Alligator mississippiensis: one gene and its partner. The protein of the gene in region 1 interacts with the protein of each later gene in a pairwise test. Links are inferred from orthologs where the notes say so. Each region holds a gene or a part of one and is shown on either strand. Other genes may lie near its edges.

Region 1 (16,377 bases):
TCCCCTGCATGGGCGGTATGGGGCTGGGGCTGGGGCTGGTGCAGGGCTGGGGGGTGGCAGATTCATTGGTGCGGGGATGCCAGAGCTGCTCAAGGACCCTGGGTGCGGGGGAAGGGGTGGCTGCACAGGTACAGTGGGCCCTGGCCCCGATCCTGGGCCCAGCTCTTCTCCACTCCCTCCTGATCCCTGCCGGTCGTAGGCCCACTCCCTCACTTCCTCCCAGGGCCCTTTCCACTCCCCCCACAGACTTGCCTGCTGGGGGGGGGGGGGGGGGGGAGGGAGGGAGGACACGTATGCACATGCACACTCAGCCCCCTCCAAAAAATTTTCTCCTTCTCATGCCTTCTCTCTTGACCTGATCATGTGTGTGGCTTTCCTTTGGACTCTCTTAGGCTTCTCCATGTCCTTTTTAAAGTGTGGAGCCCAGAACTGGATGCAGTACTCTAGTTGTGGCCTCACCAAAGCCAAGTAAAGCAGGAGGATGACATCTTGGGCCTTGCTTGAAATGCATCGGTAGATACAAACCAGGATTTTATTTGCTTTGCGGCTGCGACATCGTATTGGTGGTTCATATTCATCTGGTGGTCAATCATGACTGCAGGTCTCACCCCTGAGTCTCTTTCGGTCATGATGCTAATGAGTATAGCACTGCTGAGCCTATAGGTACGATGTGGGTTCTTTCTCCCGGGGTGGAGCACCTTGCATTTCTCTATGTTGAATGTCATCAGGTTTTGATCCATCCACCTTGCAAGCCTGTCCAGGTTTGCCGGAATCCCCAGCCTATCCTCTAGAGCATGGATGGGGAACCTCCTGGCTGCTGGTCACCTGAGGACTCCATTTCCCAGCCACCCCTGCCCGCATGGCTTGTGTTGGTCTCTATGGAGACCCCAGCCCAAGCCCTGCAGTGGGCTGGTCCAGAGCTGCTGGGAATGTGGGATGGGGCAGCTTGTTTCGGAGCCAGGGCAAAGCCCCTATCTGTAGCCTGCATGTTCTGAACAGGGGCACACATGCAGGGATTGTGGCTCTGCCCCAGCTCCTTGCAGTAGCCAGAACCTGTCTGGAGCTGGGGCAGAGCCTCAATGCCCTGCATGCGTGCCCCTGCCTGGAGTGTGCAGGGTACAGATCGCAGCTCTGGAGCAAGCCACCCCTGTCCCACGTTCCCGGCAGCTCTGAAGCAGCCTCCTACACTGCTCTGCTGCGGTGCTCCCGGCCGGCTGAGGTCTCCATGGAGACCGGCACAAGCCATGCAAGCAGGGGCAGCTGGGAAATGGAGTCCCCAGCCGACCAACAGCCCGGAGTTTCCCCATCCCTGCTATAGAGTGATCGTGATTCCCCATAATTTGGTGTCGTCTGCAACTTAACCAGTCTGCTTCTGACACCCGAATCCAGATTGTTTATGAATATATTAAAGAGTATTGGTCCCAGAACTGAACCCTGGGGGATGGCCCTGGTCACTTGGTTTGATCAACAGTCACTCTCTGGGTCCAACCACAGAGCCAGTTCCCCAGCCATTGGACCATAAAGTTGTAGAGGCCGCAGTGCCCCAATTTTACCATGAGGACATCGTGGGAGACCAAGTGAAAGGCTTTTTTGAAATCCAGATATGTGACATCAACCTCTCCTCCCCTGTCCAGGTGACATGTCACCTGGTCGTAGAAGGAAATGAGATTAGTCAGGTATGACCTACCCTTAATGAAGCCGTTTTGGCTCTCTCTCAGAATGATGCCTTCCGTTAGCTTGTTGTTGATGGATTCTTTAATAATTTTTTCCAAGATCTTTCCAGGGATTGAGGTCAAACTAATTGGCCTATAGTTCCCTGGGTCTTCCTTCCTTCCCTTCTTGAAGATGGGTACCACATTGGCCTTCTTCCAATCTTCAGGAACCTCTCCCAAGCACCATGCATTCTCATTGGCTGTGCTATGATGTCAGCCAACTCTTTTAGCACTCTGGGGGGCATTCTGTCCAGGCCTTCTGACTTGTGGATGTCCAGCCTCTCAAGGTGCTCCCTCACAAGGTCTTTGCCAATTGTAGGCATATGGTTGCCCTTACCATGTTAATCCTGTGTCCTATCAGGCAGAGTGATCCCCTTGGGCTGGTGGAAAACTGATGCAAAGTAATCATTTGAGGAGATTAGCTTTTTCCTGGGTGTCAGTTGTCAGCTGCCCCATTTGGTTCAGCAGGGGTCCTAAATTGCCCTTGTTTTTCTTTTAACTTCCCATGTAGCTGAATAAGGACTTTTTATTTTCCTTGATTCCCATAGCCAGTTTGTGCTCAGTTTTAGCCATGGCTTTTCTGGTCTGCTCCTGACAGGTGCAGGCCAGTGATACATAATCCTCCTTAGAGTTATTTCACATCTTCCAACCCTTGTAAGCTTCTCTTTTAAGATTAAAGAGGTCCATGAGTTCCCTATTGAGCCAAGGAGATCTCTCGGCCCTTTTACTACCTTTCCTATGGAATGGGATGGACTTCCCTTGTGCTTTTAGGATCACATCCTTAAGGAGCGACCACTCATCATGGCCTTCCCTCCCTGTCAGATCATGATCTCTCGGGGCCTCAACGACTAGGGCTGTGTGAAGCTTCGGTCCCCGATTCAATTCGGCGGAGATTTGGCCCAATTCAGTGGCTGAATTTGAATCGAATCAATGGACCCTTTAATCTCTCCAAATCAAATTAGAACCCTCCAAATCAATTCGGAGAGATTCAGAAATATTCAGCTCTTGACTTGACATGTGCCAGATCAACACTCAGGATCTCAATATTGCACTGTTAGACAGGAGGGCGTGATACAAAATTATACACACACACAAACTACACATACACCACTATGAGTTCACATAAACATACACAAACATGCACTTCTGTGACTGTGTGAGAACACTAAGGGGTGTTTGGGGTAACTTCGTGCTCAGGGTTACTTGAGGTCAAGGTGCCTTTGGGGTTACTCGGGGTCACCTGGTGCTGGTGTGGAAGTGAGGGGAAAAGCCTGGTGGCAAGGAGGAGACAGTCGGGAAGCAGAGAGGCAGAAAGCTGGGAGATAGGGGCTGAAAGGAGGGGCAGAAAGCTGGGAGATCAGGGCTAGAAATGAGGAAGAAAGAACAGAGGGAGAAAGCCAGGAAATCAAGGAGGAGAGCCAGGAGGTCAATAAGACAAAAACGCAACTCGGGGTTTCAAAATAACAGTTTTATTCATCAGGCAGCACACTATACAGCCCCACAAAATTATTGGTTCACACACACACACACACACACACACACACACTGATATTCTCACACACATACCCACACAATGATAGCAGAAGAGGAAAGGCTTGGTGGAGGGACTGGAGTCAAGGTGTGTGGAGACAGAGTCCAGGTCCTTTGCTTGGGGGAAGAAGGTGGGTGATAGCTACCTATCCCAGGCTGAGAGTTGATCCTTGATGGTCAGTCAGGGTCTTTTCTAGCAAGGTGTTTTGCAGAGGGAGGTCGCTGGCAGGGCCTCTGGGTGGATAGGTGGCATGGTGTAGTGCTGGTCCAGATGGAGAGGGCATCCCAAAGAGGTCACGCTCTATCACCCTTTTTATAGGGGTGGGCTACCTGTGTCTTCTATGGGAAGGACATGTCCAGACAAGGCCAGTCCTGCTCAAATGCATACGTGCAGATCCAGGTGCCTTCATTGTCTGGTGGGATACAGTGGTGGGGTTTGTTGGTTTCTGTAGGGTCTTTGTCTTCCAAATGCTGGGGTCCTGTATCTTTCAAATGCTGCATTTTGTCTCTCTATTCCTGGTTGAGGTCTGTGGTTCCTGGGTGAGTCAATGCAAGGCAATGGTTGGGTCACTGAGTTGATGGTCTGGTCATTACTAATCATTCAGTAGAGGCCTGCTACCATTATGCCTCAAGCACACTCATTCATTCCCATTCATTCAGGAACCAATTTACATGAGATTGGTTAGACATGAATCACAGTTATAACATACTATACAATAGGTTATACCTGGGCAGGGGACACAAGATGTAGGCTTGACATACAAAATGGAAACTTGACATTACTTTACAGACACAGGCCTAAATCATATCAATACAATATAAAACAGTAAAAATCAATAAAAACGTAACAGAACACTATTTACATTATAAAAGGGGCTTGTTACTATAAGGGAGTATAAGAACTTAGCTTACCTATGACTACCTACAACTACTTATAAGGGATAGAGGGGGCAGACAAAGAGTCAGAAATGGTTGGGGAAGAGGAGGGAATGTATTTTTAAGTAAATAAAAAAAATAAAGAAAGAAAAACCTGGGGGTTTTGCTACACGGTGATTCAGCCAGAGACACAGCTTTAAATGTTTTTTCTACATACCTCTAGGTAGCAGGTGGCTCGTGAAGACTGCTATGCTGGGGCGCATGAAGTGTCCCACAGAAGCACGGGGGGCTCTCCAGCGTGCTCGGCAGCAGACCTGGAAGTGGGCCAGAAGCACTTCCAGGTCCACTGGGGAGCGCACAGGGGTCTCCCCCCTACACCCTCCCAGCTCGACTGGTGCCTCCTGGGTTGGGAAGGAGGGGAGGGTACCCAGGGACCCCCACAGCCAATCATCCACTTCTGAGTTCACCACTGAGCATGTGGAGGGCCCCCCCACACACTCCTGTGGGATGCTCCATCCGCCCCAGCATCACAGCGTTTACAAGCCATGCTGGTACTTCGAGGTATGTAGAAAAAACTTTTAAAGCTGTATCTATATCTGAATCACTGATTCTCCGAATCAGCATCGAATCTTCAGATTTGGCCAAATCAAATCAGGGACAGTGGTCTGAATCAACGAATCGATCACTGTCCCTGATTTGGGCCAAATCTGAATCCAAATTGAATAGGGCCCACTTCGCACACCCCTATCGATGACCAACCTCCTGAGCTTGTGAAAGTCAGCTTTCCTAAAGCCGAGGATTTTTGCATTGCTGACTGATTTGCCAGCTTTGTGATGGACAGAGAAAGTGAGCAACTCATGATCACTGTCACCAAGCTTCCCTTTGATCCTCAGGTTGCTGACCAGATTGTCCCCTTTGGCCAGAATCAGATTCAGCAGTGCCTTACCCTTTGTTGGCTCAGATTTCTTGAGTCAAATTGCTTGTCAATGCAAGGGAAAGAATCTGCAAGGAAAAGAAGAATCACTAGTACACTCTGTCCCCTGACACAAGACAGACAGGCTGAGCAGAGAGAGGAAAGAAAAGGAATTTCTTTCCTCTCGAGCTGAAAGGAGCTGTGACTGTAGGGTACACAGAGGAGAAGAGAAGGGGATGTTGTCTTGTCCATCTTTCCATGCTGGAACCCTCAACTGTGTCACTTGGAAGTGATGGTCGCTAGGCATTTAAGTGAATTCCAAGTCCCCTTTCTGTCCTACCTGACTGAGAGGAGAATTTGTTCTGGAGGTAATAGTTCTGCCTCTCCTTTGATGGCCCCTGTGCTGTATATGTAGCTACCTAATGCCAGGTCTTCTATACAACAGTTCTGCAGCTACAATTTTAAATTTGGCACCATTGGAAACAAACTGTGCCGAGGTCAGGACAAAGATTGGGACAGAATAGTGGCTAGAGGGACACCCATGGTAATCAGGCACAGCTCTTGCATGAATCTCAATTCCCAACCACCTCCCTTTAGGTCCCACAGGGTTGTCTTTGAGAGGGTGACTTCTGACCCCTTGTATTTTCTACTTAAGCCCTTCTGAATTATTCTGTCTTCTATACCTTTTTCTTAGTTAAATTATTTTTTTTCAGTGATTTATTTTGGTTAACATATAGTCTTCCTGGTTAGCCAGGAAGTGAAAAGAAAGGTCAAAGGTCAACAGCCAAGGATCATGAACCATATGGGAGTCACAGCTCATGCTGCTAGCATTTAATGCTGTCTTTAGTGACCAGTGAAAACCTAATAGCCAGGGATCCTGGTTTTTTCTATTTAAAAATAGCAAATTCTCCTATTCAAAAAACCACCAAACCCACGTTTTTTCCTGATTAAAATGGAACGCCATTATATATATAGGTATCAGTTGAACACAATATTTTAATGATATATTTACAACTAGCAAATTGTCCGTCATGAATGACAGGGGGCGGAGTTGGGGGGGGGCGGAGTGCTGCCATGCAGCACCCAGCAGTGCTGCTGCTCCGCCTCCAGCCCCATGCCCCACCCCACCATGTCCAGCCCTATGTGCCCCCCCACCTGTGCATCCCCCCCACATCTGGCCCCATGCGCCCCGCCACCCCCTGTGTCCAGCCCTGTGTGCCCCCCCCGCCCCCCCACTCCTGGTGCGGCCCTGTGCACTCTCTCTCTCTACCCTCTCCCACTGCAGGCTGGAATTCTGCCAGCTTGCAAGGGGAAACCCATCGTTCCCTCCATTTTTCTCTTTTAAAGGAGGAAATCTGAGTTTTTCTCCTTAAAATGAGAAAATCCAGGTTTTACCATGTTTTTCTGTGGCAAATGGGAAACCCAGATCTCTGCTAATAGCTAAGGGTTCTCACCAAGTTACAACAACCAGATTCTGTCTTGGGTTGCCCAGGAATGGAAGGGGCAGAGTTGGCTATGGCTGCAGTGACCAGGCTGACAGTGATGGCTGCTTTCATTCTTGCTCCCCCTCTATGTGGCCACCTGGGCTTGGTACCCTAATCATCCATCTCTAGTTATTTTACTGGTTCCTGCTCACGACCCATCAATGAACTGTGCTATAGGTCATCATCAAATCGAGGGATTGCCAATGATGACTAGCTCCTGACAGTGTCAGTCTATGAAGATAAGACCTAAAAATGGGTTTGTCACAAGGTGCCATCTTCAGGGGTGGCCATGAAGCCTCTGGAGACCAAAACATTTCTTTACCCTGCTCTATGGGCAGTTTGCCCTGCTCTTGCCCACCTTGCCTTGATGGTAATTGTTAGTAAGAATTGCGGGAGGCTTCCCTGGTTTTATTGTCATGACCAGCAGGTTTGTGGTCAAGGCCTTATGGGCCAGTTGCGCGGTCCCATTCTGCTCCTATACTGAACCCCAAGCCTCACAGATGGCATCCTTACTGATGTCCTCTCATCACTCCCGCAGCCCTTCTCTGGGTCCTCAGATCCCTCAGCCCCACTCCAGGCCTTTGGACCCTTTGGTCTCTCCACTCAGTCCCTCCCTGGGCTCCCAGACTCTTTGGTCTGTTGTCCAACCCCTCCAGTCTCTTCCTGGACCTTCACTGGGCCTCTGGATCCTTCTGGTTCCACTCAATTCCCTTCCTTTTCTGCTAGGGTGTGGTCCCTTAGCCTTCCCCCTCCATGGGGTAACCCACAAGGCAATGGGAGCTGAGGCTTTCAGGTGTCCCACGCTCACCTTTCCCTGGGCATTTTGTGGTGGATACCTCACCACAGGCAGCCCCACCATGCTGACCAGCAGTTTCAGGTCTTACCCAGGACCATCTTCAGGCCCTCTTGATTTAACTATCCTGGCCCCTCCTGGGCTCTCTCCTGATGTCATACACCCCTTCTGGACTGCAGGCTTCCAGCTATAGCCCTTGCCCATCCTGGGCTAAAAGCCTCCTCCCGCTGACACTGTCTCAATCTCACCTCTGGGTCCCTTGGCCCTGGCTCTCTCAGACCCATTTCTTGAATCCTCTTCAGAGGCCTTTCATCAGCCATCTTATCCTAGGTCACATGGTGCTTTACATAAAGCAACCAAGAGTTAGAGTGCCCGTCCATGTCTCCACCCCACCTGCCCCAGCCTCAAGAGATGTTTGCCAATTGGGTTGGAGGATGGGGGTGGCAAAATTCAAGGACAGATCTCCTCTTTGGAGCTGATTGAGCCCAAGGAACCTGCCTGCAGCCTCTCTCCTCTAGCCCCCACCCTCCTCATATCTAGTGCTGTCTGCAGGAAGGGAGGAAGAAGAAGGGAGGGGGAATGAGCTGTGGGCTGGGGTTTGCCTGGCCTGAGCTGGGGGGAGGGGTACTTTGGCAGTGGAAGGTATGAGGTGGGGGGAAATGTCTCCAATCCACAGCCTGCCTCTTCTCAGGTTAGGCAAACTGCAGCCCGCAATTCACTCCCCCTCCCCTCTTCCTTCCAGCAGACAGCACAAGGGACGGGGCTGGCCTGATGCAGCAAGATTGCACAACAGATTGACCCTAGGGAACAGACTTCCCTAAGATGCTCCAAAATGGAGTGCCTTCATTTGATCCCCCATTTGATGAGGGTTAATTTGCCATGCTATCAGCTACTTTTAAAGTGTTCTGCAGCCATGCATGTGTATTATGACATGGCTGTAAAGTGCTTTCAAAGGGTTGATCAGGCAACAAATGTTATTGTCTGTGCCCCTAATGACTCATTGGAATTTTCTTGATTCTTTCTAAGCTTTTCATTCTACAGGTGCTAATGACCCTCTTTCATTTTAAATGGTCTTTAATAGTGTCATTACTCCAGCTATCCTTACTTCTGCAATGCTGCTGTCTGTCAGCTGCTCCTAGTAACATAGCTTCAAATTTCACAGTCCTGCAGGCTGTTTTTTATCTCTAGCTAAAACATTAACTCAGGTGTGGAAATATTAACTCAGGTAAACATTAACTCAAGGGTGGAACTCACTTTAAATGAAGCATTGGAAGCAGTGTACAGATGCTTGAGAAGGCTTGATTTTGTTTTATGAATCTGAAAAACAAAGGTACATTTAGCTATAATGTCTTCAGGACTAATGAAACAACATATTTGGATTATTTTTGCCTAGTTTGTGGTGTTTTTATGTATAATATGTGATATAGCAAATGAATGCTCATTCTAATAATTCTTTTTGCTTCAGTCTTAAATTTAATAATACAGCTTTAGGCCCCTACATATTAGTGAAGCTTCTAGTTTCTTTTTAACTGGAGAAAATTGTCTGTTGTGTTCTATGTGATAATGCAATACACCATCTGCACCCCCCCTTTTCAAAATCCTAGATCCACCCATGTACCAGCATATTTTTGTGAAAGAACAACGGGTAAAAATAGGTAGGCAGAAGGGTGACATATGTGAGAAGAGTGCTGTCTGAAAAGGCGAAGCTGGAGGCAGAACTGATGAGGCAACCTGAACCTGTTAGAGGATATTTGGGACTACAGCCACATTTACTGCAACAATGGTGCCTGGATCACCCAACAATAATACACAAGTAAGTAATTGCATGGTTTAGGGCCTAGCTAACTTCCCTACCTAACTCTTTACCTTTGCAGCTCAGTTGCAGAGGATGTGGTTAGAAGAACTCCCTGGACATAAGTCTGATCTCTGTTGTGTAGAGTGATTTTTGATGGAAGTGCACATTTCAGCTTTGAACACCATTCTTTCCTACCTTGTCTTTCCCTTTAGGAAATGTCTAGTTACTGTACATTCTTATAGGTTAGCTTATTTTCCCCTAGAAAATCTCTGTTCTCTGCCTGACAGGGAACTTAATCAGACTCTGTTATTTCAGGAATTGGACTCACAGGGGAAAGGAACTCAGTAGTCCAGACTGGAATGAAACAACAGTGGGCCTCAGAGTTTAATGTGCTCAACTGTCGATGACTTGGGCATGTGATGTTAGAAACATGGGGTGTCCCGATTGTATGTTAGTGGCTCTATTATGTCCTGGACCTTTATCAGATTGCAGACTTATGTCCTGAGTTGTGAGAGAGCCTGACACTAGATCTGAGGCATTGATGGTCATGTCACCTTGTTGTGAGTGCCTTGGAATATGAGGACCTTGTGCTGCTGGACTGAGTGCCTTTGGCACTTAGGCTCAGGGTTTTTTGAAGAGTTAATATGGCAGGCACTTTGTTATTATGTTGGAGGAGACCTGGCACCTGGAGGAAGGAAGTTAAGCTCTAGGTTTATTTGAATGTAAATAGATACACACTAGCTACATTTTGTGAGATCTCATTTTGTGTTGAAGTGACATCTGACACACAGACATTGGGTTCAGGGTAGGATTTTGTTATAAACATCATAACATTGATAATCTCAACTTTTCTTATCAATAGATATAGTGAATGTTCTAGCCTCTGCTCATTACCTGCCAGTCCAAATCCCAGTTAAAGTAAGTTGTATTCACACAGCCCAGAAGGTCAAATCATTTTGCTAAGTTCATAGTCCCCCTCATAGTTCTACACTGACATCTAGTGGCCAGTTCTATCGTTTGTAATTACCGTTTTTGGTTAAAAAAAACAGTAATTATCATTCACTCTTCTTCCTGGCAACAGGGTGCCATTAAATGATGCAATGCTTAAAGTTAAACTGCTAAAAATGAAAGGTCTCAACTGTTCCTCCTCTTGTCCTCTCCCAAGCATAAACAAACAGGTGATTGATTGTTCATAGTCAAGTGAATTCCCAACCAGTATAATGTTTTTCCATGGATATGGGCATCTTCAGCAGATTATCTTGCCAAATACGCACCATCTGACCTAATACACACCATCAGAATGGGTGGGTCCATGATAGTTTAACTGGGACAAAATAATAACATGAAGAAGTTAATAACCGCACATGGTGGTTTCTTGCGCATATCAATTCTCATCAATAATGGATCCTTTTTGGCTTGCACCAGCCTCAAGGAGTTCTTCTTTTTAGCTGAATAAAGACCCCAGTCAGGATGGACTCAGTGATTCTCACCAGGCACAACTGCTCTTGCTGGTTCAAGGCCAGCATCATGCCCTGATCACACAGAAGATAGAGCCTTGACTACATTTGCACCAGACTGGTAAGACTCTCCTTCCTGCTTGCCTTTTCTGTGGTCTAAACGCCTCGTGCTTTGTGTAACGTATGACCACCAAAAAAAGTCCCTGACCTTGCAAAGAAAGGAAGTGCAGCTTTGAAAAGAGAGGAACAGAAAGCCTGTTCAACCAATTCTTCCGCTCAATCGCTGTCTCGCTTGTTTTCTCTACAGTGTTGTTATCCAGCAGCACCTTGGCGTAATCCAGAGCAAGAGGGATAGAAGGCTCCGTGGCAGCTGGAGATGGATGACTTGGGTAAGCGAGCTGCTCTCTGGTTGAAGAGCAAGGAATGGACATTTGAATCAAGGCCCTGAGCATGTTGTTTTATGCTAGCATAGGGATAGAACTAGTGCTGAGGTGGAAGGGTGGGTGTACTGGGGCAGAGCTTCTGGAGAGGGGGTTTCTGTTCCCTGTGTTATGAGGACATTGAGTGAAATTAAAAAGTGCAAGTTCAAAAGTAATAAAACGAAATGCTTTCCCTCCCCGCTGTGTTGTTAGCCTGCAGAGGGAACGGCCCCAGACTTTTGGTGAGACTAAGAAATTAGGAAGATTCAAAAGAGGGAATGGACATTTCTATGGGGAACTGAATGATTTTTTTTATGGCCATGCTAAAAATTGTGAAAGAGGATATTAAACCTTATATTTCAGGGTTTGTGGTTATCCTGAACTACAGTGTTCCCTGTATAAGTGCATTACCTCAGGACGGACAAAGGCTATTCACTGACCTTGAGTGTGCATTTAACCTAAATCAATATAATTAATACTTGTTAATTCCAGGGACATCCTGCAGGCAGTGCACCTCTTCACCATGTTTTTCAGAATATTTTATGCCTCTGATAGCAGCCTTGAAATTGACTGGGCCCAGCCAGTTCAAGGCCACTTCTGAAGCCTTAAAATTGGTGGCTTTTGCAGATTCACCAGTTATTCAATTAAGTGGAATACAGTCACACTGTAAAGTAGACAGAGGGGCCAAAGAGTTCTGGGCATTCACATAGTTCGTGCTCATAACTGATACACAGATAGATGCAGTTTGTTACAATGTAAGCACCAGGAAAAATAAATTGGCGCTGGCATTTTGTTTCATCATTAGGTAAATATGCACTTATCCCATATGCATAATAGTGGAGTAATATAGGAGCTAGGAGTTGTCCTACCCTTTCTTCTGAAGCAGCCTAAAGCTAGCTGCAGTAAGAGACAGGATACTGGACCAGGCGGCCCTTGGATCTGCTCCACTGTAGCAGTTACTATCTTCCAGAGGAGCACAGGTTAGGAAGACTAGCTTGATTGACTCAACAGCTCTGATGCTCTGCCCAGGGTACCAAAATTTCTAGTTATACTTCTGATCCTCACCCAATCCCTGCAAGGTAGGGAAATTTTAGCACTCTTTTTAATAAACAGGTTGCTCAGGCACCAGATGGTCACAAGAGTCCTTTCTATGAAGTGGCTTATAAGGAGGTATTTAAAGGAGGAAAGCGTATTGGCTTTATGGATCCATTCAGAGGAGGCCGGTCAATCAGAAAGGACAGCAGGAATATTTGTGGGAGAAACACGCAAATGGGCTAATGCAGTTGGCATCGCTGGTGGAGTAGAACGGGCAATGCTGATGCAGTGAGGGGAGTGGATAAAGACCTTTAAAGATGAGGCTGAGAAGCTAAAGCTTAAAAGATGATGCCAGCGGAAGAACTCAAGGGGGGAATAATGATATATGGTTAAGCTAACTAGCCTGGGAAACAATTACCTGTGTGTGGACTGGAATAGTGTGGAGAAGCAAGTGTAGAGAACTGAGAAAGACTCGTGTTATCTTCTTATAACTATCATATGTCCATCAGCATATCTGTACAGCATTACACTGCCTGACTATGCAGTTAGATCAAACAAGATTGTTGCAGAAACTAGGCAGGAAAGGTAAAGAGTGGCCTAGATAAACAGCATCTTTTTCAGATGTACTAGCGCAGTTTCTAGCTGTGAAGGAGCAGCTTCTCACCACCAGCCCTGGTGACCTGCTTTTTTGCTAAGGCTGAGAAGCAGGAAATCAAAAGACAAAGATCTGATAAAAGATCAGCCCATCTGAGAGGAGGAGGAAGTTGTTGGCACCTGCAGTCTAGAGCTAGGGACTGAAACCTGTGACATGGACTTATTCTTCAGGGTATCATTCTATGCCCCCTAAATTGACATGGTGGGCTTTAATTTATTCCATCACTGTGTACATGTGATAACCCAAAAATCTAATGAAATGCCTCATGTGCTATTCACAGTAAATTACTGCAGGAAGCACCACGTAACAATCCACCCAACAATCTACCCTGCTGATCTCTTCTTGTTAAATTAAACCAGGGGGCACCTGTCGTTCACAGCACACTGAGATGTACCTTCATTAGTTTTTTTATGCATATTTTAAACACACAATTTTTTTGTACAGATATTTTTTTTAAAAATTCTTATTCTCACATCCTTATTTTTAATTTTACTATTTCTAGTTAAGTATGGGGGGAGGTGTGTGTGTGCGCACACGCACATGTGTGTGCGTGCATGTGTGCATGCAATTTTACTGGTTGCTACTGTGCTCCTGGACGTCCAAGCAACAGTGGAACATTGAGGACCCATTAAAGTCCAATGAGTTGTTTACCCCCCCCAGCACACCCTGGGACACCCAGATGTCAGTACAGTGAAATAGGAGTTGATAAAAACAAAATGGTTTTTTTGCAAAATTTCTTTAATGAGGTAAGAAAAAAGTTCAGAAGAAGATTGATTCATGTCAGGCTCTGCAGTTATACCTAGAGTGCTAAAACATTCATTACACACAAATATCTGCAAATTATAGACAGTCCTTGGACTATGACACAATTGGTTCCTGAAAATCGTGTCTTAAGTCGAAATGTTGTAACTCAGAACCAATTTTCCCATAGGAAACAATGTTATAAATGGGGGATTGGTTCCTGAACCAAGGCCCGATACCCTATTTTCACCAAAAATAACCCAGAATTTTGTACTCAATCAATTTTAGATGAGTAATATAGCTACAGTAACATATTTATATTGTAAATAGGAATCATATTGATTTGGAACGATTTCTTTGAGGTGACTTTGCTGGACTTTTTGAAGCCTTCTCAGGAGTCTTGGCTGCAGGATTTTCTGGAGTCTTGTCTGCTTTCTTAAAGAAAGTGTCCAAGGAAGTTTAGACAGTTGTTCTCCAGGGAGATGGGTGATGCAGTGAACTTGTTCACTGGCATGGCATGGCATCGGATCAAGAGTTGTAAAGTCAAAAATGATGTCAGAAAGCTGAAATAGGGTGTCAATTTATAAATGTTGTAAGTGCAAAACGTAGTTACTTGAAATGTTGTAAGTCAAGGACTTCCTGTACACTGCAAATTACCTGCAGCTACCTGCAAATTGTAGTGACATCTGGTGGAAAAGGGGGCTTACTACACAAAAATCGTAGTGACACCCAGGGGACAAAGGGATCACTACACATCAATCAATGAATTACCATGTAGATGTGACTAACTTATGGCTGCATCATCACTAGAGCTGTGCAAAGCTTTGGATCACAATTTGGATTCAGAGATGATTTGGATGATTCGGAGGCCAAATCTACAAATCCAAATTGAATTGCTGGAAGCTTTAGGCTTTCCAAATCAGTTTGGAGCTTCCGAATCGATTCGGAAAAGATTTGGCAATTCGGCGATTCAGCCATAGGGTATAATGGGGAATTAATGAAATAGCTATAACTTTGCTGTCTTTTGGCTGATTCAGATGAACCTTGCAAGGACAGTAGTCTCTGCTGAGAGCGTGACGTGTGCCAAATTTAAAGGTGATAGGTGCAGGGGTTTCTGCTGTGACTTAACACACACACGTGACATGAGTTTTGCTTTCAGAACTTTCAGGTGCAATTTCCCAGAAACGCCTGCACCTAACACCTACTCTATGGCTGAAACTCCAAAATGGCTCTGAGCCTTCTGAAGCAATTTGGCCAAATCAAATTGGAATAACGATTTGGATCTCCATATCAAATCTCTGGCATCTGAATCGGCCAAATCCGAATCAAATAGTTCCCTATTTGCACAGGCCTAACTGTCACAAGTTTGAGCACCTCAAACCAAACTACATCAGGATATGGTCTAGTTTGTCACTATGAGAATTAGTTTAAGAGTCACAAAACTCATGTGTGTAAAGCGTGATGCAATTAAGCCACACAAAGCAGGATCTTCATCACTTGTACACAGTCTCCTCACCACTTGTACAAGCGCAGGCCAAAAACCAGTTCCCTAGAAGGGGGGGATATTAGAGCTAAGTCATTCCTGCCCAGCAGCTTAAGAGGATTGTATGCACAGGTAAGACAGTGTGTATATATGGCTGTGTTATGTGAAATCAGTTTCTTGGAGTGCTGTGCATCATTTGGCAAGCAAACCATGCATTTTGTTTAGAAGAAGTTGCTTCCATGTTACTCCTCCAGGAGTTCTTGACTTGATACATTAAGTGAAATTCTGTGGCCCATGTTACAGCAAAGTGTTTGATGAGATAGTCTCACTGTTCACTTCTGGCCAATCTTTTACTGTTCTCAGTTCCTAAAGGAAACATTTGCAGATGCCAAGCTGGTTGGGCCTGCTAAGTAACATATTTGGGCATGGGGATGGGCCTCAGAATGAACAGATTATCCAGGAGGTATGTGTGTTAGAAGTTACCCAAGGCAGATTACGATGAGCACTTCAGGATGGAAAGGAGAGGCCTGAACATGCAAATATAATGGGGAAAAAGATAGAGAGATTTTGAACATGTGGAATGAAAGAAAACATGGCTCCCAGGTCACTGGTTTGGCCAGTAGGAAGGAATGGCACCTTCATCATGTATGACTGGGATGCATATTTTCTTATTTGCCATCTGTGGGGAAGAGAGGATGGACAGAGACCATGTTAGGAAAGCAGGACTAAGGGCACCAGGAGAGGGGGCAGAAAGAGAAGGAGGTAGCACATCTCTGCACTCCCCCAATAAGAGAGAGCGGTATTAGCGGAGCTTGCAGTGGCAGAGGTCAGTGGGAGATGGTACCCTCAGTATGATTAAGTAAAACAGCTGCTCAACTAGAATAAGGAGCAGAGCTGGGTGTGTGGAGTAAGGGAGCTGGATGTATTCTCCTTTATGCTGAAGGGCTGAGAAACCCTGAGAACAGCAAGTGCAAGAACAGGCTTGGGGTAGGGGGAGTTAGATGCTAGCTGAGGAAATTGTAGGTAGGGGGGGGTCAGGCTATATGATTGAATTATCTCTGTTGGGTTTTTTTTATCAGATGCTTTACTAGCAGAACTAGAACAAAGCTCTAGCAACCCGAAAGAGGACAACCTTCTTCTGGCACAGTGTTCCAGTGGGCAGACAGCAGCAACAGCAGCGCCTGAGATTGGTGGTAACCTGAACCAGACACTCAGCACTTCTGGGACCCACAAGGTATTCCAATCGGTGCCTGATCACATGGGAAGGCCCCAACAGAAATCCACCCTTACATGGGAGCTCTAGTACATGGAGATTTGTCCCAGGCAAGTTTAGTGCATGTCCCCAGGAAGCTACTGTCCCCTTCTTTTTCTCTTGCATCTAACCTAGGAGAAGCAGCCCAGGGTACCACCTGGAACTGAGGGAACTTCTCAAAAGAGCAGTGAATTGTTAGTTTTCTTTAATTAGCCACATTCAGCTGTGTAGT
Region 2 (13,572 bases), on another chromosome or scaffold:
TATGTTGTTTTTCCTCGGGGGCAGGATTTTAGCCCCGAGACCGATTCATTTGAGGAAGTTGGCGTGTTCCAGGCAGGTATCCTTCAACCAGGCCCAGAGCTCGCGTGCTGTATGTTCATCCCTCTCCCAAATCTGCAACCCCCCCCCCCCCCTCCCTACCCTTCCCCTCCATCCACACACCCTCCGTTTCGGGATCTCGTGGAAGTGTTGTCCGGGTTCGGCGCATCGTGGTCCTTCCAACACCTTGGGGTTGCCTGTGCGGGGGCTGCTGTGCAAGTGGGCAGCCCCCAAAACAATGGCATTTGCACAGCAGACACAACTTGCAGCTTGGAACCGTACTTATCTATGCTAATTACAGGCTGTCTGACAGAAGGATAATAAATGCAGAGGCAGAAGTATAGAAATATGTTTCTCCAGGCAGTGTACACGTTGACTCTGTAGGTCCAGGCTTGTTTTCTTGCTCTCCTGTTAATTCACTTCTTTTGCAAATCTATTCCCCCCCACCCACACCCCCCAAACCCACGCTCCTTATTCTTTCCCCTCCTCTGTTGACTTGTACTTCGTAACACACCCCAAACCGAGATAACTTAATATGCATGGGAGAGGAGCATTTCGAGCAGCTTCAGTCTTCCTCTATTACTTTTAGACGGGCTTCTCAGTGAACATTTTTGCAAGGGAAAGAGATTTTTTTTTCCTGATTGGTTTTTCTTGTTTTTTTTTTTTCTTTTTGCTTTCTTTTTTTTTTTTTTTCGGAAAAAAGCACCATAACCCCCATGAAAGAAATGGGTCCTGGGTTTTAATAGCACCTCGGAATTTATTGTCTCTTACCCTCCGACCAGTAAAGAGTCTGGAATTTGGAAGGCATAACAGCAGACAAAATTCTTAGCAACAGACGGAGTTGAAGGGGGAAACACACACACATGCACACTCACACACACACATGCACACGCATGCACACACACGCAGGTAAACAACTGCTTTAGTGCGATTTGCAACTAACTTTGTGTCTTTTCTGCCTCTTCCCACCCCCCCCCCCCCCGAGCTCTCCCCACTGAAACAGCAAGTCCAGGGGAGCTGCAGGTCAGGTCCAGCTCCCCTGTGCTGTTTGGGGGGTACTTTCTGCACAATAACTTTAAAGCAAAAAAAAAAAAAAAAGCAACCTGGAGAAATATGATCTTCAAGTAGCCAAAGAAATTTGGTGGCGGTGGCGAGAGGAATCCATCCATCAATCGCGTGGTTATAGGACGTGATGGGCTATTTTATTTTCGTGGAATTGCTCTTTCTTCGCTTTGTGTTTTATTGTATTTTATTTTATTTTCCAAAGAGGCTAGGAAACAGCCCTTCAGAGGTTTTTAAAAAAAAGAAAGAAAGAAAAGAAAAGAAAAGGAAAAGAAAGCAAGAAAAAAGCGCGTTTGCAAGGCTGGAGAGGCTGAGGGCAGTCGTCCCATGGCTGCTGCGGATTCAGACACCACCAAAAAGAAACCCCCCCAACCCCATTGTGTGCTATTTTCATAAGGGGAAAGGGTGGTTGAGCGGGTGGAGAAGGAACAAAGGGAAGAGAGGAAGAATTTGGGGAGGGGAGAGAAAGGGAGGAAAGGAGGAAAGAAGGACAAAGAGACAGAGAGCAAGGTACAGGATCGGAGGGGGGAGCTGGGAGCCTTTCTGCTGCTCAGGGATTAAAATGAAAGCGAGGGGCGATGCCTGCAAGGTTGCTTTCGTTTTGTTCCGAAAGCCAAGACGACCCGCAGCCCCCCGAGCTGGACTTCTCCCCGGAGCCGGGGGGCGTGCGGGGCTGCGGGGAAGGGAGGGGGGGAGGGCAAAAAACCCCCAAACCCCAAAACCCGGGTCTTTTTTTTTTTTTTTTTAATCCGAACTTGACAGTGTTAATTGAACCACGGGAGAGCGGGGAATGCGTGTTTGGACGCGGGGCTTGTCTGCCTGTCAAGGGTGGCGAGGTGTCTGCTGCTTCCAAGGCCCTCGCCGGAGCTCGGGCTGCGGATCTCGGCGGCCGGGAGCCGGGGGCTGCTCGGGCTGTGGCTGCAGGGAGCAGCCTTGCGTTGCTTTCCCAGCTTCAGGGTGCAAATCCCAGCAGCTGCTCTGCAGCCCCTGTGCGGGTACTGGCTGGTGCTCTCCAGGCCTGGAGCTCCCACATGGGGAGGTTTCCCCCCTTCCCCTCTCTCCCACCCCTTCTTCCAGGTTGGAATTGCCCAAACTAGAGTTTTCCAGCCCTAAACTTCTCCAAGTGTTGTGTATTTTCAACGCAGCCTCTCGGAGCTGAGCAGAACCACACAGGGGACTTGATTACCACCCCCCACCCCAACCACCACCTTTTTCTTTCTTTTTCTTTCTGCATTCATTTCTTTTTCCTTGAAAAAAGCATGGGGCGAGTTAGCCAAGGGAAAGCAAGGCAGAAAAACACAGCAACAGGGACCCAAAGCCTGTGACCATGGGCAAAGCAGCCAGAGGAGAGCTGAGATTTCTATCCCCTGCACAACCTCAGCAGATCAGCCTGCAAAGAAGTGGGGGGAAAAAATGAGCCCAGTGAACTGGAAAGCAGCTGGCTCCAAAAAGGTGTGAGATTTCAGCTTCTCAGGGCACTTCTCAAATAAATACATATATAAATAAACAGCTTCCTTGATTTTCTTTCAGTAAGGAAGCTAGCCTTTTTTTTTAAATATCTGTACAAATCCTGGGGTTTACTTTGTTGGCGGGGAGGGTGTGTTTGAATTTCCCAGTGGTGTGTTGCTTTGGTTAAAGGCAAAGCGTTTGGGGTTTTCTTATTTGATTTTATTTGGCTTGCAGAAGCAAGGGGGAGATGGGAGGAGAAGGAAGATAATAGGTAATCGCCCTTAAAAGCAAGTGAGGAAGCTACTGAGTTTACAGGAGTAGAGAAATGTTGACTCAATAGCTACAAGCGTCTCTTTGCAAACTCAAGGCATATTTTAATTGCCCCGTGCACTCCTGGCTGCGAACTTTGCGCTGAAGATTATTGCAGGGGGGTTATTTCTCAGCCCCATGTTTGGACTCGACTTGATCCCTGCAACTTTACGTTTATCCATATGGAGAGGGGTTAGCATCCCTGTACCAACAGGGAGGAAACAGGGGCTTGACGTGGGCTCAGGATTATATTCTGCCAGGGCACAGCTATAGGTTTCTGATCATATTCATTAAACCACCTTTAGGTTTTGTACTGAGATGAGCTGCCTCTGTTTTGCCTGGGCTGTTTCTCAGAGGCAGGCTGTCCCTTGAATTAAAGACGCTTGTATTGCAAACGCTGCGGGTTTTATTTGGGGGGGGGGGGTAATAAATCCAGTAGCAAGATGGGGGGTGAATAATTCTAAGTGGCGAAGGTTGCCTTGTAAATGCAAGAAATCTTTTGCCAGCTTCGTGTTTCCCTTTGTGTAACACAAAAATGCACCATTCAGGGCTACCTTAGTGACCTTGTCTGCTCACATTAAGGTTACCAGGACTGCTTTTTCCTTTAAAACCCTGTTGGTTTGATAATGTCTGCTCTAAACATTTAATGTCTTCTCTCTTTTGGTGGCTTTCCCCTACCACCTCTCCCCCCTACCCTCATTTTCTCTCTCTCTCTCTGCCCTGGCTGATCCCCTTTCTGCATCTGTCTGCAGACCACCGTCCTTTTATAAGGTTTCTTTTAAATATAATTCAACCCTGCAACAAAGCCAAGTTCCTTGTCGCCTCCACGTTTTAATATCACAGCATATCAACCACAGTGGAGAGTAAGCATTTTGCTCTTTTTCTTAAGGAAAAAAAAAAGGGGGGGACTGGGAATAGATAAAGAATGATGAATTTTCTTTTTTCGCGTGCACATAAAAATAGCCATCATTGGAGTCTTGTGATTGACAGATAAATTGATCTCAATAAAGGCCAAAGGGACGTGGTACTCCTATAGGACTATTTCCCTTTAAGGGCTCACATAAAACATAGGACTTCAAGCGAGAGCAGAATAAATTCTCAGGGATTTGGGCGAGATGATGACTTTCCTCCTCTCCACTTTGGGGCTCCTGGAGCACATGAGCCCCCACACATACACTCCCTTTCTATTGCCAGGGCCCCCTTTTGTAGCACGAAACACTTTTTTTGCAGCAGTGGTGCTTGATTCCTAAGGTGAATTAAGGTGCAAGTCTGTCTTCCCTCAGCTAAGACATGGGCTGCAACTTTCTAGGGTCTGGGAGGTGGGGGGCTTTCTGAATAGCATCATGTATACATTTCTCGGTGTGCATTTAGCTCCCTTTCTCTTCTGTCTGAGGAACTTAAACAGAGAAAAAATGGAGAAGAACAAGAAATGAATCCATTCCTGTCTTGGGATTGTTTCCTGAGAATTGCACACACTGTCCATAATGTCATAATGCCTCTCTAAGGGACACAGGAGCCCCCCCTCTGTCTCTCCTTTCTGTCTCCAGAAGAAACCACCATAACCTCCCTCTCCTCCCCAGTTTGGACCCTCAGCTCTGCCCAGTTGCCCTGAAATCCTGAAGTGATGCCCCGTCCTTGAGAGCACCAGACCATCCACCTTTGGGGCTCCTTTAGGAAAATCAGACGTGATTTCTGCTACTCCTAATTTTCCCCTCTTTTTCCAGAGAAATCATCTCAACTCCATTCATCCAATGGGCGGGAGCTATTTATCTACCTGCTTTTCTCTACGAAAGAGGTTATTTCTTTCCAAATGCAGCCAGGACATAAAGTGTTTTTTTTTGTTTTTTTGGTTTTTTTTAATTCAGCCAACTTCTTCCATCGATTTGTTGTGGGTTTTTTTTAAAGTTTCAGTGCCTATCTATTTATTAAAAAAAAGCATCCCTTCAAGTATGAGCCACATTGTTGCTTGCTCTTAACATGCCAAAGACTTCTCCTTCCCAGCTACGCCTTGAGAGCTGAAACTTGGGCTTACAGTTTTATTTAATGAACGACACATTTATGAACAATCAAATGATCCTCGTAAAAATTTTATTGAAGGACATAAAAACATCCCACGGCTACTCGCCGAATAATGTAGCCCTTTCACTGCTAACGCCGAGAGTCATTTTTTTTTGGGTGGTGGTGGTGGGGAGGTGATTATTTCCCATTCATGTTTTAAAAGGGGATTCCCTGCTTTGCTTTATGCCTTGCTTTTTTAATTCCTCTCCTCCAGCGGATACTTCTGTTTAAAAAATAGATTACATGTGCATGTGGCCAGCAGATTTCTCGCTGGTGATTAGCGCTGCACAAGATGACAAAAGAGCCACTTCTTTTTTTTAAGGGGAGAGGGAGGCTTTTTTCCTTGGGAAAGGGGGCGGGGGGGGTGTCGAGGCTGAACTCTCCTAGACTTCCCAGCGATGTCTTTTTACTGATATTCCGTGTAATGTATCCATTACAGAATACAAGCTGCAGAAGCAAAAAGACAGAGACAAATTACGTCAAGAAATAGTTCCTGGGTTACCTTACCCTCCCCACCTTCCCGGCTGCTCAGCTGGAGAGCCCCCCCCTCCCCTCCCCTTCCCCAGCCACCGAGGGAAAGCCACCTTTCGCTAATGAAATGCAAGCTGCGTGCCTCCTAATATCTGCCTTATTTCAAGAGTTTCGTGAAAAGCCAGGTCGCCGAGGCGCTATTAAAAAAAGACCTGCGGATTGATCCGCGCGATATTTTTGGGTAAATACAATCACGTGAGCGCGGGGAGCCAATGGCCAACTGGGAAAGGCTGAAAAAATAATTACCTGCCCTGATTGTTCTATGAGAAGATAAAAAGTACACATACAGTTCATACAATAATCTTATGAATGTAAAAGAGGGGGGAAGGATGTCCGCTTCGGGCCCCATAAGCAACTATTATGTAGATTCCTTGATAAGTCATGAGAACGACGAGCTCTTGGCGTCCAGGTTCCCCGCCACTGGCTCGCACCCCGCGGCCGCCAGACCTTCAGGATTGGTACCGGACTGTGCCGACTTTCCGTCCTGCAGTTTCGCCCCTAAACCGGCCGTGTTTACTACTTCCTGGGCTCCCGTGCATTCTCAGTCGTCCGTGGTTTACCATCCGTATACGCACCAGCCGCACATAGGGGCTGACACCAGGTATATGCGCACTTGGCTAGAGCCCATCTCCGGCGCTGTGTCTTTCCCAGGCTTCCCACCCAGCAGCAGGCATTACGGACTCAAGCCGGACGCTTTCCCCGGCCGGAGGGCGGAATGTGGCCCGATGGACGGGCGAGGTTATCCGGATTATATGTACGGATCCCCGGGTGACCTGAGAGACAGAACACCGCAGACAATTCCATCCCCGGAATCTGAAACCATCGCTTCCAGCAAACACAAAGAAGAAAAGAACGAATTAGACCCTAGTAAGTTGAAGTCATTCTTGTTTACAACCGGGAAGGCATTATAGCCTCTAGTACAGTACTCAATAAAATGAAATTACTTTAGAGCGCCGTCCCCTAAATCTGCGAGGCTCCAGGAAGAGCTGGGTTTAAAATAAAATAAAAGAACAGAAAAATATAAAGGAAAAAGAAAGCCCTCTAGGAGAAGCTAAGACCGAGCCGTGAGCGTTTGGGTTATTTTCTAACAGGAGAAGGGGGGAAGCTATTGGTTTCTTTGATAAAATATTCCTTGCCCCCCCCCCTTCCCCGGCCCCTTCCACCAAAAGAAAAAGGAAAAAAAAAAAGCTTTTTGGCTTGCAGATATTCCCACTTCCCAACAGCAAAAGGAGTTGGGCTCAGCTCCCTTCTGGCTGGGAGCTGGTTCCCTGGTGTGGGTGTGTGGAGAGAGGGAAGATCCCAGAATAAACAGAGCTCTGTGCAAAGGGAGGAAAATTATAGATCTGTCTAAATATACAAGCCATTCAGGGAAGAATCCCTTACAAGCCTCCAACACATGGGAAGCAATGGAAGGGCAGGCTGTCCCCAGCGAAGGCTGAGCCAGGAGGGTGAGGAGCTGGAAGAAGAAAGGCAGGGGAGAGTCTATAGGGATAAATAAAGGAGCATCTTTAGGCAGGACACTGGACCATCCACTTGGAGAAACATCTTCTTTAGTCTCAGGGAGAAAGGAGGGGAGGGGGGGGGGATGTTCAAGGAAACCTTGAACATAGCAGGGAATTAGTGGAAGGAGATGCCTCTTACCCCATGACAAATGTAAGCATTTTTTTTCCACACTATAAAACGCTCAGTTCAAATTGCACGTGTGTCCCTGAAGCACAGGCAGTTGCTTCTGTGAACACGAGCAGCTCAGGGAAGGCACAAGTCAGGGAACCCCACTTATATCGGGGACCCCCCTTCTTGGGGGGCACCTGGAAGAGACCCCCCCTCCATACGCATCTATGTGAGCGTGGCTGTGGGGCTGCCCAGATCCAGGCACACACACACACACACACTCACAGACACACACACACAAACATAAGCATGTCATGTGTTTATTAAGCCTTCTGGCCTAACAATCCGATCAAATGTTGATTTATAAATTAGGAGCCTGTGTGGTGCGTGTGGGTCCAATCCCAGCTGTATCGATGCATCTCCAGATAGAAATCAGCAGAGCTCCTTCTGTAAGACAGAGCTAGGATACAACATGCAGCTGAACCTGGGAGCATATTCCCCTTTGCTGGGGAGAAGCTCTTTTAAAAAAGGGAGGTGGGGAGGGCGATTAAAGATATCATTTTAAAGCTCACACACTTTTGTCACGGTTCCAGGTCTAACAAAGTGGGGCTGGGGGCAGCAGAAAGAAGGAGAGGATTTTTTGAGGCTTCAAAACTGGTTCAGGGAGCCAGTCAGTTTATCCTGTGTCATCCTCAAGATATTAAAACAAATAAACCAGGCGATCCAGAGCTGGTAGACTTCTCCAGGAGGCATGGGTTGTAAAGAGAGTTTATGGGCCTGTGAAATGGTGGGAATTTTGACTTTTTATGACTATGTTCTTAGATTACTCCTACCAGAGCTCATGTGGATCATTATTATTTTAAGCCCATTGCTAGAGTTTTATTTACTGAAACTTTTATGTGCAAGCAACAGCGAAAAGAGAGGAAATGGTCCCTCCAAAATAAACATCTTAAACTCTTCTGAAGGTCACTTGGAGATATTTAGCTAATATTCCCTAATTAAACAGGTTTCTTTAAGGGGAAGGGTATGGGAGGAAAGGACTGGGCGCTGGAGGGTGAGGGGGGAGGTGAGGAAGAAAATCAGGATATATATAAATATATATTTTGGGGGGAAATTTTTTCTCTCTATCTTCTTTCCCAGGCAACCCCGTCGCGAATTGGATTCATGCACGCTCCACAAGGAAGAAAAGATGCCCCTACACAAAATATCAGACCCTGGAACTGGAAAAAGAGTTTTTATTCAATATGTACCTCACGCGAGACCGGAGATACGAAGTAGCCAGGGTCCTCAACCTCACTGAACGCCAAGTCAAAATCTGGTTTCAAAACAGGAGAATGAAAATGAAGAAAATGAATAAAGAGAAAACCGATAAGGAACAGCAATAAAGTTGGCAGAGTCCAATAAGTGCAAGAGAAACGAGGGTGAGAGAGAGAGAGAGAGAGAAAGCAAGAAAGCAAGCAAGCAAGAAAGCAAGCAAGAAAGAAAGAAGAAAAAAAGCTGTTTCTTTGGTCCGAAATGTTTCTGACTTTGAATGTGCTGATGAGTGTTTAGAATTAGGCAAAAACAGCAAAACCCGTTGGACGCACCCTGCTTTTATAAAGATGCAGCTCAGTAATAAAACCAGAGGTCGTTTTTAGTTTGGGGGTTTGTTTTTTGGGGTTTTTTTTTTTGGTTCGGTTTCGTCCTTTTTGAGAAAACAAGCAAAAAAAAAAAAGTACTTGAATTTTTTTTTAATTTAGTATTTTATTCCGTAACTTAAAACTTCTCCAGTGTTTTATTTTTTAATTTCTTGAGTTTGTGAGTGCATATTTTGTACAAAAAAAAAGGGGGGAGAGGAAAAAAATAGAGAGAAAAGAAAAAGAAAGAAAAGAAAGGGGTTGGGGTGGGGCGGGTGGGGGGAGATCACTCCATAATGTTCTGTCATAGTGTTTGGACGTTTTTTGGTGTACTTATTTGTGTATTTTCTTCCTGTCTCACCGTTCTGTAATATTGTTCCGTTTTGCTATAGTTGAGCAGCTTTATGTAAATATATACCTAACATCACAAAAAAAAAAAAAAAAAGAGAAAAGAAATGCTAAAAAAAAAAAAAAAAAAATCCTTATCCTGTAGGTGTCCTTTATTTAAACATAGCAGCTACCAACGTGCTCGGGGGAATGTGTGGTTCCTCCTCCTGTTTAAAAAAGCCCTTGCAAAATCGCGCCAGGGAATTTTAGCCCTGATAAGAAATCGCAGCCTGTTGAAATGGAGGGTGTATGTGTGTGTATGTGTGTGCTGTGTGTGCATATGTGCAAATCCACCGTCTTGCAGAAAGCGAATGAAGAAGGGATGGAGGCTAGGGGGGGAAGGGGAAAAAAAAGAGACTGGCTTCCGCTCACAACATTTTATATTTAATAGTATCATCATAAAATGCGTTTAGGTAAGGGTTATCCGTGCCATAAATTTTTAGTTTGGGATAATTAATTGTGCTAATTTATGACCCCAGGCAATCGAAGTATATGTAAAAGATTAAATATGTATGCCGGGGAAGTGTGCAACATTGCTCTGTTTGACAACCGCCTGTATTGCAACTGCTGCGTGTTAGCACTGAAGTGCCGGGACTTAGAGAGGGGTTTCTGGAGCTCCTGCAACACACAGGCTCCTTCTTGCCTGGCAAAGGACAATGCAGTGGATGGGAGAGGACTGTAAAAAATAATAGGTTATGAGAAGAATGAGGAGAGGGGAAGGGGATGTGCACGAGGTGGTGAATTTGGGGGTTAAAAGTCTCCCTTGTTTTCCACCCCCCTGTCCCCAGCAGCGGTTGTTTGCAAAGGCAAGCAGAGGCGTAGAGAAGGGGTTAGGGGAGGGGGGCGTTCAGGCTGGATGGTGGCTCGTGGCGATTTCCCTGGCTCAAAAGCAGGAGAAGGCGCTGCCCAAAGACACTCAATGGCTGATATCCCCGAGAGCTGGAAGGGGCTGGATAAAAAACGAGCAGCCGGGGATGTTTCATCATAAAAACTTGTTGAGGGTCCCTTTTCTTTAATGAAACGAGCAGGGCGCTGTTTTAATCTTCCTAATCAAAGCCAGAGCAGGCTGGGGGGAGATGTTTGTCGCCTCCAAACCAGGCGCTCCCAAAATACAAAAATCTGGAAGCGATTACCCGGGGAGCTCAGAAAAATATCGCTCTTTCATATTTCTTCCCTTGGCATGTGGAGGGGGCTTTGGCTTATGGATTTGTCTGCGCCAGGGCTTGTGTGTGTGTGTGTGTGCGTGCGTGCGTGTGTGCGCGCGTGCAAAAGGGGCGAGATACATTCATCTCAGCATCCTCAGCATCCTTGCAAAGCCAGAAGCCCCACGTTTGCAAGGATCTTAAGGAGCCCAGGGAAATGTTCAGGGTAACAATATTGTAGTAGACCGAGGGGCTAAAAGAGCTGATTTGACTGAAAAAACAACTAGCCCTCTCCATTCATGTCTTTATTTCCCTTCCTCCTGCCCCCTTCACTCAGGAACCTCGACTGAAAGAAGCCGGGAGGGTCTGAACACTGTATTTGCAGTCATGGGTGATGGTGGGGAAAGGATCCTTTGCTTTGGGGGAGTTCTCCCCTTTAGCAAGGGACTTTGCGAGCAGCCTCGGACCCACCTCTCTGGAGATGCCTATGTAATGAGACGCTGGGGCGAAGGGTGGAAAGCAATGATGTATGCCCCCCCCCCCCCCCAATTTTGTCCCCTTCAATTCAAAGCACTCTCATCCCCCAGGCGACCGCAAGAAACTTCCCTCGCCCTGCCCATCTCGTAGCCTTCACACAGGCAACCCACACAGGCAGCCCAAGAGGCAGGGAAGAATCCGACCCCTTTTGTCTCCAGCTAAGTGCGGTGGGGCTGTCTTTTGTTCCTGATGCCTTGGTTGCTTTTAAATCCCTGCTGCAGTCCCAGGTCACGGGCAAGGCTTCTGTAGCACCCCCCCATATCTAGAAGTGGCATTTGGTCCTGCAAAGGGGGAAGGGGGGGGTTGACCATAGGACTGGAATGTGCTGCCTTGGGAGGTTGAGGAGACAGGCAACGGGGCTAAAAATAACCCGAATTAAAAAAGAAAAAGAAGAAGACATGAGCACACAAAGCAGAAGGTGGGCTTGAGTCCTTGAATGGGATCGAAAAGGCTCCGGTGCAAGGGGCTGGCGAAGGGATATGTGCGGGTGCATGTCACTATTTTCCTGCTGTAGTATTTTTGTGTGTGGTTGTTTTAAAGGACGATCCTTTTGTAAGGCGCGCGCACACACACACACACACACACACACACACACACACACACACAAAGCCAGCATACCGCAGCTTTGAAAGCGGTCCATAGGTGCACTTCCGCAGCAGAGGAAGAGGGGGGCAAAAATGCTAGTTTTACAACTCTGTTTGTCTCACTGCTATGCGCGCTGAATAGGAGCGAACAAAACAGGACTTCAGATCTGGCTAGACGTCTGGCTTTAATTGTTTTATGGTTTAAATAAGGTGGGTGCTCTCTTCTTTGAAACCGGATTATTGGAATGTTTTGTCTACAAGCTACAAACAACAGACCCCCCTTGGACGAGAGGAGAGGGGGAAAGGGAAGCAGGGGGGAGGGAACCCCCCCCCCTTCAGTTAAAAACTGATAAAAGCACTGCAGTTTGGAGGAGGGTGTTTGTGTGTGTACACATTGGGCCTTGGTTTTTATGGGATCCTTAAGCAGAAAAGAAGAAGGGGGTGGGGAGGGGATCCCAACCCGCTACACCCGCTGCAGCGTTGATATAACAACAACCACAGGCGCACTGTTTGGTGAGGGGTCATTGCAAAGCTCCTGGTAAATCAACAATGCATGTAATTGTTGGTTATAAAATGCCTCCTGATTATCCCCACGCATCCTGGAGTTTAGGCAACCCGTTTGGGGTTTTCTTTGGCTTTCTTTTTAGCCCGAATTGGATGTGTTTGCGGAGGAGACTCCCCCCCGCCTTCCCTTTTCTCTCTTTTTAATGACAGAAGGGACTTGTTTTGTGTTCCCAATACAAGGTGTCTTGGAGGAAGCCAACGCACGATGGCGCTGTTGTTCAATATTAGAAGTAGTCGGGCCCGGGGAGGTACAAAGCGTGCCATTGCACCCACAGGCCTCTGAAAGGTTTCAGGAGGAAAAAAAAACCCAAATCAAAACAAATATGTATCCATTCCCTCACCTATGACTTGTAAATTAACATCTAATGTGTGCCGGAGAAGCAAACGCATTAAGCAACTGTCAAGGACCCGGGGTCTGTGCGATTCTAAAATAAAAGAATCATCTCTGCAAGAGATAACTGGTTGAAAAGGAAAAGCTCAGACCATCGTAAATTAATTATAGCTGATGAGACACCTTCCGTCCAGCATCCACTAGCAAATACATAAAATGCTGAGGAGAAAGCTGCTTTGTTTGAAGTCTTGTTCTTTATTAGCGCTAACACACGTTACACATGTTGCAGAGGCTCTTGGCGAAGGGAAGGAATAGCGGAGGCGATCACATTTTGGGTTGCAAAGCAGAAGAGGAAAAGGGGGAGGGAGGTGGGGAATAAACCCGAAATCCGTACAATGACGTCTCTTAAAGTACAATACAGTTGTATTTATAAAGCTACATTGCAAAGCACGCATACACAAACTAACATGGGAAACACGGAGCTCCACAAACTCCCACGGAGGCACAAAACACAACGCGGAAGAGACAAAGAGCAGCACCGTAAATGTCACGATTTTTTTTTAAAGCCCAGAGAATTGCACATCACTGATCTGATGAGTGTGTGTGGTTCTTTAAATAAACCCCAAAAAACAGACCTTGAAGGGAAACATTTATTGTTAAGCTCTCACGCAATTAAACAAATATGACTCAACTACCCAGTGCCTCTTTGATTATGACACAAATGCGTATTCGGTTGGGGGGGGGGGAGACAAAATTCAATTTCTAGGAGATACAATTCAAATCATCCCCATATTTGACATCTTTTCTTTTCCAGCCACATCGTGGAATAGCTTGGGATCCTCATTCTCCAGATGATTCAATCCATTCCTAGCATGGTTAGCTAGAAGGGCTGGAAAAGTGGGCATTATAGGGAGGCTACTTATATAAAATAGCTCGACTATTAGCTGCTAATTAAATCTTCTATTCCCACCTGTCTTTCCCCCATGTTATTTGCTATTTTCTGGGGGGGAAGGAGGGGTCAACATCGTGGCTTCTCAAGCTAAAATCGACCTGTTAATCCCACCGTGCTTACTCTTTATTTTTTAATTTGTGGGTAATCGTTTCTCAGTGTCCATATATCTTTTCCTTGAAACATTATCTCCCTTGGATGGAGGATATATCAAGGAATATTTCCTTGAAATATTCTCTCCCTTTGATGTTTCCCATTGATACAGGTCATTGTGTATTTGGGGGGGAAATCATCCAAATCCCAGTCCATGAAGCCTTTCCAAAGACAACACGTGCCTATTTATTTGATTTGGGAAGGCTAATAAACATTGGAAGGAAGGAGTCCC

The links.
Region 2: the proteins of LPXN (region 1) and HOXC9 interact in binary tests that used the Homo sapiens proteins (3 or more experiments, as listed by UniProt). The two-hybrid records come from large-scale screens. The link is inferred for Alligator mississippiensis from reciprocal best matches to the Homo sapiens genes LPXN and HOXC9.

Annotation. Positions count from the first base shown.
Region 1 is NC_081825.1:172,164,211-172,180,587, forward strand, and holds the start of LPXN (leupaxin), read left to right. Parts: upstream 1-8,551; 5' UTR 8,552-8,638; intron 8,639-8,912; 5' UTR 8,913-9,121; intron 9,122-10,528; 5' UTR 10,529-10,681; intron 10,682-10,709; exon of another isoform or gene 10,710-10,867; 5' UTR 10,868-10,936; coding exon 10,937-10,949; intron 10,950-15,972; coding exon 15,973-16,127; intron 16,128-16,377. UniProt on the Homo sapiens protein: Transcriptional coactivator for androgen receptor (AR) and serum response factor (SRF). Contributes to the regulation of cell adhesion, spreading and cell migration and acts as a negative regulator in integrin-mediated cell adhesion events.
Region 2 is NC_081838.1:8,245,400-8,258,971, reverse strand, and holds HOXC9 (homeobox protein Hox-C9), read left to right. Parts: upstream 1-5,650; 5' UTR 5,651-5,771; coding exon 5,772-6,333; intron 6,334-8,217; coding exon 8,218-8,462; 3' UTR 8,463-8,550; downstream 8,551-13,572. UniProt on the Homo sapiens protein: Sequence-specific transcription factor which is part of a developmental regulatory system that provides cells with specific positional identities on the anterior-posterior axis.